2 linked regions of the Macaca fascicularis genome follow. The protein of the gene in region 1 interacts with the protein of each later gene in a pairwise test. Links are inferred from orthologs where the notes say so. Each region holds a gene or a part of one and is shown in the gene's direction. Other genes may lie near its edges.

The links.
Region 2: the proteins of FOSL1 (region 1) and USF1 interact in binary tests that used the Homo sapiens proteins (3 or more experiments, as listed by UniProt). The link is inferred for Macaca fascicularis from reciprocal best matches to the Homo sapiens genes FOSL1 and USF1.

What each region holds. Positions count from the first base shown.
Region 1 is NC_088388.1:8,498,584-8,504,641, forward strand, and holds the start of FOSL1 (fos-related antigen 1), read left to right. Parts: upstream 1-1,940; 5' UTR 1,941-1,989; coding exon 1,990-2,088; intron 2,089-2,365; exon of another isoform or gene 2,366-2,880; intron 2,881-6,040; coding exon 6,041-6,058.
Region 2 is NC_088375.1:100,028,547-100,034,495, forward strand, and holds the start of USF1 (upstream stimulatory factor 1), read left to right. Parts: upstream 1-2,247; 5' UTR 2,248-2,283; coding exon 2,284-2,424; intron 2,425-3,241; exon of another isoform or gene 3,242-3,314; intron 3,315-4,828; coding exon of another isoform or gene 4,829-4,858; coding exon 4,859-4,950; intron 4,951-5,335; coding exon 5,336-5,385; intron 5,386-5,547; coding exon 5,548-5,663; intron 5,664-5,949. Other genes in the region: ARHGAP30 (rho GTPase-activating protein 30), read left to right, coding at 1-534.

The sequences.
Region 1 (6,058 bases):
ACATTGGGTCGTTCAAAGGCAAAGGAGAGGCACCAGGTTGGTAATGACTTTCTGAGTGCACAACACTTTACAGCTTACAAAGCACTTTCACATCTGTGATCTCATTTGATCCCACAACAGCTCCGTGAGATCAGCAGCGAGGCCCAATTGAGGGAAGGTGACCTGCCCAGTGTCATACAGACAGAAAATGGTAGCTCTGGGACTAGAACCCCAGGGTCAAACTGGCCTTCCTGGCTCTAAGTACCGAGTGCACCCACAGACTGCTGGCCTGTGTTCCCAAGGAAAGTAGCCCAGAGGGAAAAGCTAGAGCTGATGAAATGGAAGGACCGATGGAGAAGCAGGAGAGCCCAGCCCTCTTGATCTATTTACTTTGAGTCTTGCTCTGTCCCCCAGGCTGGAGTGCAGTGGCACAGTCACAGCTCACCGCAGCCTCGACCTCCCTGGCTCAAGCCATCCTCCCTCCTCAGCCTCCAGAATAGCGGGACCACAAGGCAGGAGTACCACCATGTCCGGAAAAATTTTTTAATTTTTTGTAGAGATGGGGTCTCAAATGGTTCTTTCTGCCTTGGCCTCCCAAAGTGCTAGGATTACAGGCATGAGCCACCACACCTGGCCCCAGCCCTCTTTCTGTAGTCGTGTGACAGCTGGCAGCTCAGTTCTCCATCTGGGCCTCAGTTTCCTCACCTATAGATGGAAGTAATCAGAGAAGAAGCTTTGGGATGGTACCTAGCACTGACATTCTGGATGTGCAACAAGGTGTCTGTAAAAGTGTAAGGGCTGTGAAAAATCTTGGCTGAGCCTGGGCTTGGAGCGCCCATGGCTGTGACTTGGCAACCTGTGCCAGCTACTCACTTAGCAACCTTAAGCAATTCATTTCAACATCTCCCAGCCTCAGTTTCCCCATCTGTAAAACAGGGATGAGGATGATACCTGCCTCCCAAGCACGTTTGGCCATGGCCTCACATTCACTCGCCTTTGACATACTCTCCAAACAAGACTGGTGGCCGAAAGGCACTGACAGTAAAGAAGATGGCGTTTACCAGACCTCAGGACACCTGTAGTGGCCCTGAATTAAAATTCGTTATGGTTCCTGAAATTATCCTGAGTAATACAATTATATTGCATTGTATGTGTGGTTAGTTCAAAGCATTACCTTATCGTAAACATTTAAAATATACCACCCAGCCTGGGCAACACGGCAAGACCCAATCTCTACAAAAAACACAAAAATTCCCCGGGCGTGGTGACGCAAGCCTGTAGTCCCACTTACTTGGAGGGAGCGCTGAGGCAGAAGAATCCCTTGAGTTCAGGAAGTTGAGCCTGCAGTGCGCCGAGATCAGCCACTGCATTCCAGCATGGGTGACAGAGACCCTGTCTCAAAAATATAAAGTAAAATAAAATAAAATTATGCCACCATTTTTGTAACCCTGGTTTGTCATTTATTCACTTTTCATATACTCGAAGCCTTAAAACAAGGCCAGCGGAAAGATCTCACTCCACGAAGCTTTGGGTCGCGGTTGGCGTGGCTCCTACAGATGTGATTCTTTCACGCTATTTTGTGGGAGCAGAAACGGAGACTAGCCCAGGCCGCGAGAGGGCTGGGGCTGTGCGCGGGCTCGGGCAGGTGCGTCAGTCCGCGGGGGAACCCGGGGCTCCACCTGGGCGCGGCGAGGAAGTTGCACCATGTATGGGCAGCTACGTCAGGGGGGCGGGCCCGCAGCCACCGGGGAACGCCGAGCCGGGCCCATCCCAGTGAAAAGGCTGCCGCCGGACTGGGGGAGGCGTCGCCAAGTTCGGGACCGACGGGCCAAGGCTGCGCGTCTCGCGGGTGGAGCCTGGAGGTGACCGCGTCGCTGCAACGCCCCCACCCCCCGCGGTCGCAGTGGTTCAGCCCGAGAACTTTTCATTCATAAAAAGAAAAGACTCCGCACGGCGCGGGTGAGTCAGAACCCAGCAGCCGTGGACCCCGCGAAGCCGCCAGCCCCGGGCATGTTCCGAGACTTCGGGGAACCAGGCCCGAGCTCCGGGAACGGCGGCGGGTATGGCGGCCCCGCGCAGCACCCGGCCACAGCGCAGGCAGCCCAGCAGGTGAGAGGGGCCCGACGCCGGGGGTCCCCCGGGAGGACGGCGCGTGGGAGGCCGGGTCAACTGCCGCACACTCCGGGACTGGAGCCGGGAAGCGGAGTCTGGGCCGGGCTGGGGGCCAGGGCGAGGATCCTGCCCCTCGGCGTCCGGGGCCAGTTGCCCCCACTGCACAGCGGGCGGCAGAGACCCGCGAACTCCCCTTCTCCCAGCCGCCCCCTTCTCCCTTGCAGTCCGCATCTGTCCCTCTGTCTCCTTGCCCGCTTTCTCTCCTCCTGCCCACCTCTGACTTCTGCGTCCACCCTGCTTCAGAAGGAGCGTGGGCGCCTGGGTTGGCCGCCCCGACGGCTCGGAGGGTCTCTTCGCCTTGGGCTGAATTCCTGGGATCTGGAGTCTGGGCCGGGGTGAGATGTCCCAACACGGGAGGGAGGCAGGATCCGTCGGGAGAGCAGCTGGGCCGGGGTGGGAGTCCCGGCCCGGTCTGCGACCGTCCGCGTGTCCGTCCGTCTGTTTGTCCTTCGCCCCTCCGTCGCCAAGTCCCTATCGTTTCTCCGCCTGGGGAGCCCCGGGGGGTCCGGGCAGTGGACCTTTGCCGAATGCGGCGAATAGAGACCTCGAGGTTCCGGGACGTGCGCGGGGTCAGGCTGCGGGCGACTCTCGCGACCCCGCTCCCGGCCCCTAACGGCGCCCGCTGCCCGCTGGGGGCACCCGGGAGGCTGCAGGTGCCCGTTTCCTGTCGAGGGGCTGCGAGCACGTGTCGGCAGGGGAGGGAAGGAGGGGCGTCCGTTCCGCCGAGTCACGGCGGCCAAGTCACGGCGGCTGAGTCACCCGGGGCGCCCCTCCCTTCCTGGCCCGGAGCGGCCCGGGCCCGGACAACCTCGGGAGTGGGAGATGCCGCCGGCGGTGCCTTGGACCCGGAACTGGGGTCACTGGGCCGCCGGGCCCGCAGCGCTTGGGCTCAGGCTACTGCTGTCGGGACTTGCCTGGGCTTGTGGGGCGCTTCCCGGATGATTGGGCGCCCACACCCAGGGCCCAGCGGCAGAGCTCGAACCCACTTCTCCCAGAACACTGAGCTCCATCCCAGCCCACTCCTCAGATAGCTGGTTGATAGAATGGGAACAGGGACGTCGTGCTGGGCGCTTGCCACATCATTTACCGTATTTCACAGAGTCGAAGACCTCATCGATTGAAAAAAACCCACCATAACTTTATGCCACTAATTTTCTTTCCTTCCTTCCTTCCTTCCTTCCTTCCTTTCCTTCCCTCCTTTCCTTCCCTCCCTCCCTCTTTCTTTCTCTCTTTTTCTTTCTTCCTCCCCTCCCCTCCCCTCCCCTCCCCTCCCCTCCCCTCCCCTCCCCTCTCCTCTCCTCTCCTTTTTTGAGACAGGGTCTCCCTCTGTTGCCCAGGCTGTAGTGCAGTTGCACAAACTCAGCTCACTGTAGCCTCAACCTCCTGGGCTCAAGCAATCCTACTGAGATCCTAGCTGGGAAGCGACCTGGCCACAGGCACGCACCACCACACCCAGCTACTGTTTTAAATATTTTTGTAGAAATGAAGTCTCACTGTGTTGCCCAGTGTGACCTCGAACTCCTGAGCTCAAGTGATCCTAGACACAGCCTCCCAAAATGCTGGTGTGAGTCACCATGCCTGGTCCACTAAAATTTTTTAAATTGCCAATTAAACTGATTTCAGAGGTATTAAATGGTACTTCTTAACATCAATGAAATCCTGTAATCTTCACCTGTAACAATATTAAAAATGAGGAAACTGAGGCACATGGAGGTTAAATAACTTGCCCATGGTCGCACAGGCAGTAAGTAGCTGAGAGCTAAGATTAGGATTGGGGCCGGGCGCGGTGGCTCAAGCCTGTAATCCCAGCACTTTGGGAGGCCGAGACAGGTGGATCACGAGGTCAGGAGATCGAGACCATCCTGGCTAACACGGTGAAACCCCGTCTCTACTAAAAATACAAAAAACTAGCCGAGCGAGGTGGCGGGCGCCTGTAGTCCCAGCTACTGGGGAGGCTGAGGCAGGAGAATGGCGTGAACCCGGGAGGCGGAGCTTGCAGTGAGCTGAGATCCGGCCACTGCACTCCAGCCCGGGCTACAGAGCAAGACTCCGTCTCAAAAAAAAAAAAAAAAAAAAAAAAAAAAAAAAAAAAAAGGATTGGGACAGCCTGCCATGCCAGGTGGCTAAAGCCTGTCATCTCAACACTTTGGGAGGCTGAGGTGGGTGGACTGCTTCAGCTCAGGAATTTGAGACCACCCTGGGGCAACCTAGTGAGACCCTGTCTCTACAAAAATTTTTTTTAAAAAAATTAGCCAGGCTGTGCGCGGTGGCTCATTCTTGTAATCCCAGCACTGTGGGAGGCCAAGGCGGGTGGATCACCTGAGGTCAGGAGTTTGAGACCAGCCTGGCCAACAGTGAAACCCCATCTCTACTAAAAATACAAAAATTAGCCAGGCACAGTTGTGGGCGACTGTAGTCCCAGCTACTTGGGAGGCTGAGGCAGGAGAATTGCTTGAACCAGGGAGGTGGAGGTTGCAGTGAGCCAAGATCAAGCCACTGCATTCCAACCTGGGCAACAAAGCAAGACTCTGTCTCAAAAAAAAAAAAAAAGCCAAATGTGGTGGTGCACATCGGTAGTCCTAGCTACTTAGGAGGCTGAAGTGGGAGGATTGCTTGAGCCCGCAGGTCACTGCACTCCAGCCTGGGCAACAGAGTGAGTGCCTGTCTCAAGAAAAAAAAAAAGGCCGGGCGCGGTGGCTCACGCCTGTAATCCCAGCACTTTGGGAGGCGGAGACGGGTGGATCACGAGGTCAGGAGATCGAGACCATCCTGGCTAACACGGTGAAACCCCGTCTCTACTAAAAAAATACAAAAAACTAGCCGGGCGAGGTGGCGGGCGCCTATAGTCCCAGCTACTCAGGAGGCTGAGGCAGGAGAATGGCGTGAACCCGGGGGGCGGAGCTTGCAGTGAGCTGAGATCCGGCCACTGCACTCCAGCCTGGGTGACAGACAGAGCAAGACTCCGTCTCAAAAAAAAAAAAAAAAAAAAGCAAAAAAAAAAGCATTGGGATGGCCTGAACCCACAGCAGTGACTCTTTCCTGCCTCAGCCCCTCTGCACTGGGCACCTGCCACTTACCAGACTGTCGCACACATTCTCTCACTTGATTCTCACAGCCTCCCCGTGAGATGGGAGCTGTAATTATCCTCTTCGTGCAAACAGGTGCAGGAGTGGGTAAAAGACCAGCTGCTGGGCTCAAATACTGTTTCCTACTCACTGGCTCTGTGTCTGTGGACAACTGTTCTCCTGTCTGAAAATGAAGATACTAGGCTGGGTGTGGTGGCTCAAGCCTGTAATCCCAGCACTTTGGGAGGCCAAGGTGGGTGGATCACCTGAGGTTGGGGGTTGGAGACCAGCCTGGCAAACATGGTAAAACCCTGTCTCTACTAAAAATACAAAAATTAGCCGGGCATGGTGGTGCACACCTGTAATTCCAGCTACTCGGGAGGCTGGGGCAGGAGGATCACTCGAACCTGGGAGGCACAGGTTGCAGTGAGCCAAGATCATGCCACTACACTCCAGCCTGGGCAACAGAGTGAGACTCCATCTCAAAAAAAAGAAAAAAGAAAAGAAAATGAGGATACTACTGTGCCAATGATATGAGTCAGTATTTGTAAAGTGGTTAGAACAGTTCCTGGCAGTTTATATTTTATAAATGTTAGCTCTAATGGGGAAACGGGGGCACAGAAAGGTTATGTGACCTGCCCAAAACCACACAGCTTATGAGCAGGGATTTGCCACCAGGTCAGTCTCTGACTGCCAGGCTGTGTTCTTTCTGTTCTCAGAGCTAGCCTGTACATTGAAGGTAGACAGCAGTGTAGCCTCTGCCCAGTGGAAGCCCCTCAATCCACATGGACCTCATCTGTGGCCTTCCATTTCTTATTCCTTAGAAGTTCCACCTCGTGCCA
Region 2 (5,949 bases), on another chromosome or scaffold:
GCTTCTACTCTGGTTCAGGTCCAACAGGTCCGCTCTGTGCCTGTGGTGCCCCCCAAGCCACAGTTTGCCAAGATGCCCAGTGCAATGTGTAGCAAGATTCATGTGGCACCTGCAAATCCAAGCCCGAGGCCTGGCCGGCTTGATGCGACTCCTGGAGAAAGGGCTTGGGGGGCCCGAGCTTCTCGATCCTCTTGGAGGAATGGGGGTAGTCTTTCTTTTGATGCTGCTGTGGCCCTAGCCCGGGACCGCCAAAGGACTGAGGCTCAGGGAGTTCGGCGAACCCAGACCTGTACTGAGGGTGGGGATTACTGCCTCATCCCCAGAAACTCCCCTTGTAGCATGATCTCTGCCCATTCTCCTCGGCCCCTTAGCTGCCTGGAGATCCCACCTGAAGGCACGGAAGGGTCTGGATCCCGGAGTCGTCTTAGTCTGCCCCCCAGAGAACCCCAGGTTCCTGACACCCTGTTGTCCCCTCAGCGCCGATCGTATGCATTTGAAACACAGGCTAACCCTGAGAAAGGTGAGGGACTGTGATTAGGACCACAGCCCTGGGCAAAGGGGACCAGTAAGTTGTCTTGAATCTCCAGGGTTCCTGACTAGCTGTCTCTTCTGCAGTCTAGGCAGCTGTAGTGCCCAACTCTATAGGCTTTGGCCCTCCAGCTTCTCTGACTGTGGGAGGCACTGCCTTGTCTCAGACAGAAAGCACTTATCTCTTAGGAGATTCCCAAGAAAGTCAACAAGATCTTGTTCCCAGGGAGTGGGTTACTGGCCAAAGGGAACATAAGGTAGGCAGAAAAGTTAAAAGAGTTTCTTAAAGTGAAGACTGGAGAAGTTCCTCCCTTCCTCTGAGCTATGAATCTCTCTTCATGAAAGCCAAAGGTAGAGACGGGGGACAGGGCCAGGTTAGGGCCTTCCATACACAAACACTTCTAGAGTTGCCCATTCCTGTTCTGCTCTTGGACCCTTAGATACCTCCTGTCCTTTTTAGATCCAGATTAAGAGAAACGTTCAGGAAGCTCTTTGAAACCCTCAGTATTTGTTGGAGGGACTGGACTCCTCTCCAGCTCCCCACCCTCTGCCTCCAGTCACCATGTGCAAGAGAGATCCTGTACAGATGTCTCTGGGCTCTCGTTTTTCCTTTAGAATAACTTCTTCCTATTTCAGGAAAGGGAAATGGTGTCACTCAGGCCCTGGGACTGCTTCTCCAGCCAGGTTGGGGCCATAGGTCCCACTCTAGTGAAGGTCAATGTCTCAGAATAAAAGCTGTATTTTTACACGTAGTGTGGAGTCTCATTACTCTTATTAAAGTCTTTGGTGATAGCTATTATATCTTCATATATTTGGCAAAACATTCTTTTTCTTCTTGTTGTTTGGGTGCTCTTCCTCAGTTGTTGTCATGGAGACTAGTGGCTAGAAACTAGAGCTAGGTTCATGGTGGTCACGAAATAAGGAAGAGAAACTTATATTTACATAATGCTCATTATGTGCCAGGAACTGGACTAAGTATCCTGTGCTCATAAAATCTGTGTCCTTGATTTTATTTAATCCACATAAGTCTGGAAGGTTGGTGCTAGTATCTCCAGTTTATAGATGAGGAAACTAAGGCTCAATTAAGTCAAAATGTTTGCCAAAGGTCTCAGAGGTAAGAAGTGGCAGAGATGGGTTTGAAACCTGGATCTGCCTCGTCCCCAAGTTTGAATTCTTCCCATTATACCACACTACTCCAAATCCATTCAGGGTAGGTCTTGATTGAGAAGAACAGGAATCAAGATTCCTGTCACAGAAAGTGTGAGCCTTTAGAAAACTAGAAGCTTTGGGGTCTTCGGGTTAGTGACTGCCGACGCGAATAACAAGGAACATACCCAGTTCTATGCATGCCCTGATAGGTCGTAATCTCTAGCAGGTAGGTAATCTTTCAAAAAGACGCCCTGAGCCAAGATGGCCTCCCAAATAGCCCTTGTTAAAGATGGCGCCTCCGTCAGACGTCCCTCCCTTCATCTCAGCTGGATTCTCTCTTTTTTCCTGGAATGAAAAAATGCCCTGCCAGCACTAAGATGTCAGTACAAGTTAGTGGTCTCTTTCCCGTTCTTGTCTAAAGTGGCCAGGGCTTCAGCTACATACTCCAGGACACGGCTTCTTCCCGACTTCACAGAAAACCCACAAACATCAGCTCTCATCAAGATGGAGTGAGCGGAAGTGGGGCGGCTCTGAGTTTGAGTTTGTGGGCGGGCCGAGAGCGACACTTCCGCCCCTCACCAACATGGCTGCGGGTTGCAAGTGCGCATGAGCAGCTGTCTATGGAGCTACCTAGGTCGGGAGAGGGAGAACACAGTTGGAGAAAATCGGCGGCTGAGACGGCCTTGGCCGGTGAGTGTAGGACCGGGCAGAAGTCTGGAAACTGGGTGGACTGGCAAGGCAGGGCAGGTTTGATTTTGTTTCCTTTTTTCTGGTTAGAGAACACTGCTGGGGAGGAAGCCTTTGTTTTGGGCGGGGGGGGGGGGGTGTTGTGCTGGTTCTTTATCTTCTACCCTGCTTTGTGGGCCAAACTCCCTGCCCCCGAGCGCGAGCGTCCCAGCCCTCCTGCGCTGTCCAGCTGCGGGCCGCAGCCGCCGGCACCGGGCGCCTGAGCCCCCTAGTCCCCGATGTCCTTTCCTGCCTCCTCCGCGGAGCAGCTGGGGCGCGGGGCTAGACTGCGGGGCTGCGGGTCACGGCGCAGGCTCCCGGGCTCGCGCCTGGCGGGCGCTCAGCTCCTTAAGCGCCTTCTGGTTGGAGAGCCTGCAGGGAGACGCCTCATTCTCAGGCAAGGTCTAGGCGCCTGACTTCTTTCGGGAGTAGATTTTTTTCCCTTTGTGTCCAGACTTAGCAAGGGCTCTTACTGGGCCCTTCTGGCCTGAGCGTGCCCACCACAACGTCCCATTCCAGTTTCCGTGTCACAGATCCCTAATGCCTAGGAAATGCTTCCGGATGTCCAACTAAGATTTGAATAAGTACCCTGACCCCGTTGCTGGGTGTCCTCAGAGACTGCCCCGGCTGACAGCTGTGGCCAATAGAGATGCCTCCTGTGCCGGGCCCTCTATTTCATTGCCTTCCCCTGCAGTCAGCGCGGCAAGCTTCGCAGGGCATTTCCTCTTCAGGTTTGAAGATGGAAATGTAGGTGGTCCCAAAACACTAGTGTTACTTCCCCTTATCGACTGGGATCTCCTTGCAGCGTTACTTCCTCTGGACGGTTTCACTTTCAGTTCCTTTTTCAACATTTTCCTCGGACGCGGTCTTTCCAAGGCTTATCCACTGAAAATTTTCCCTGGATAGGAAAGGTTTGGAGGACCTTATGGGTAGAGAATTTCTAAAAATCTTGCCCCTTTTGTGTTGGGATTATCTTATTGCTTTGTACTGTGTAGCTGTTTCTTTCTGGAGGCATGTCTGCCCAGCTCTTTGTTTTTCCTGCCCTCTGGCTGGGTGTCAGGGTCCTAAGGCAGAGCTTGTAGGTGGATTCTTCCCCCTTTGTCTCTTCTTCAGAACCCTGTTTTTTTTTTTTTTTTACCCCTTCTTGCCGAGGCTCAGTTGATTTGGAGTTGTCATAGCAACATTTTAGCAACTGTGTTGTTCTACAGGAAGGCTTGATGAATAAAATAGAGGGTGCTTGAAGAGGATCCACTTGGGCTTTAGGGTTTCTAACAGATTATATAAATCGGAATACCCCAAAACAAGAATCCTGTCAGTAGAATGGGGCCCAAAGGCCAAGTCTAGTCTTTGTGGTCAGGGACATTCTTCCAGTGGTAGTGGGCTTGAGATTTCCTCTTCCTAGGTTTGAGAACAGAAATGTCTTGGTGGACAATATGTGGCTGAGAAACTGGAAGAAGTATCAGTGTCCATGACACGGTATTTTTTGATGGTGGGGCCAATACATGGCCCTTCCTGATTCCCATGAGGCTGCCATCATGGCAGGTCATAATAGCTTTAATAGTGATCCATTTAGAAATGTGTTGTTGGCTGGGTGCGGTGGCTCATGCCTGTAATCCCAGCACTTTGGGAGGCTGAGGCAGGCGGATCACCTGAGGTCAGGAGTTCCAGACCAACCTGGCCAACATGGTGAAACCCCATCTCTACTGAAAAATACAAAAATTAGCCGGGCATGGTGGTGGGCGCGTATAATCCCAGTTATTCAGGAGGCTGAGGCAGGAGAATTGCTTGAACCCAGGAGACGGAGGTTGTAAGCTGAGATTGTGCCACTGCACTCCAGCCTGGGCAACAGAGCACGACTGTCTCAAAAAAAAAAAAAAAAAAAAAGAGAAATGTGTTGTTTCAGCCAGGTGCGGTGGCTCACACCTGTAATCCCAGCACTTTGGGAGGCCGAGGTGGATAGATCACGAGGTCAGGAGTTCGAGACCAGCCGGGCCAACATGGTTTAGTAGAAACCCCGTCTCTACTAAAAATACAAATATTAGCCAGGCGTGGTGGTATGCACCTGTAATCCCAGCTACTTGAGAGGCTGAGGCAGGAGAATCACTTGAACTCGGGAGACAGAGGTTGCAGTGAGCTGAGATCGCGCCACTACACTCCAGCCTGGGTGACAGAGCGAGACTCTGTCTCGAAAAAAAGCGTTGTTTCTGTCTTCCAGTATAATTATCCCCTCTCTACCAGGAGTTGGAGTGATAATGGAGGGACAAGGAACACTATTTGTAGAGTTGCTTTTTCAATCACTGTAGGCCAGTCCTCAACATCAGTATGGTGGAGGCTGATTGTCCCCTGCAGATGACTGGGTTATTTTCCTGGCTGTGTGTTCATGGAACCTAAGTTCTAGAACCGGAGATACTGTTCTGTTTCCTAGACTCACTGCAAACTTCATGATTTCTACCAGGACTTAGCACTCAGGCCTGTGAATAGGAGATACAAAGACTTCCAAAAAAGGACCAGTTCCTCGGATGTGCCCCCTCACAGAGAGATGAAGGGGTGAGTGAAGAAGGGGTAGGGTCTGGGATGAAAGATGGGTGGCCTGGAAGAATGCAAAATGGCCAAGAGCACTGCCTCTGGAGTCAGGCAGACCTGGATTCAGGTTCTACTCTATCACTTACTGTGTGATTTGGTTTCTTCATCTATAAAATGGAAGTAGTGCTATCTATCTCATGGTGTTGTTTTTAATATTAAATAAGAGTACATGTGATGTACTTAGCTTAGTGCTTATGTACATAGTAAACAGCAAACACTAGTTGTTATTCTAACCTAACTCAGCTTCTGTTGGGAATGCCAATGAGTTTGCAGCCATATGTTACTGGGCCGGTAAGCTTCTCATTGACTTCTTCCCATACTCTTCCTTTTGTCCTTTCACCACAAACAGGCAGCAGAAAACAGCTGAAACGGAAGAGGGGACAGTGCAGATTCAGGAAGGTGAGTGCTAGAGACGGAACCAAGACTAAGAACCCATCATGGCCTCCCTTCCTCCCCCACCAGACCATCTCCTGTGCATCCTCCTCCTTCAGTGACATGCACGTGGAACGGGGATAGAAAGGCAGTTAACTCACAGACTTTTCTTTTGTTCTTTTAATTCAGGTGCAGTGGCTACTGGGGAAGACCCAACCAGTGTGGCTATTGCCAGCATCCAGTCAGCTGCCACCTTCCCTGACCCCAACGTCAAGTACGTCTTCCGAACTGAGAATGGGGGCCAGGTAAGGGAGGGGGCCAGGTGGCTGCAGGTGTTATTTGGGATTGGGATTGAGGGAGGTAATTGAACATGTCTTGGGGAGACCTGGCTTGGAGGATGAGTTGAAAGAGTGGACTGTTTCAGGGGAGGGGGGTGCTGATACTGGAGTAGAGACTGGTGTGAGGTTAGGTGTATGCTGAAACCTCTGTGTGGGGAGAGAAGGGAGAATGGCTCAATCCGTGTCTCTGAAGGACTTTGTTTTGGGGCCCTATCCAAGGGAAGCTTTATGAGGGGCCCTAAGATTCCCAACA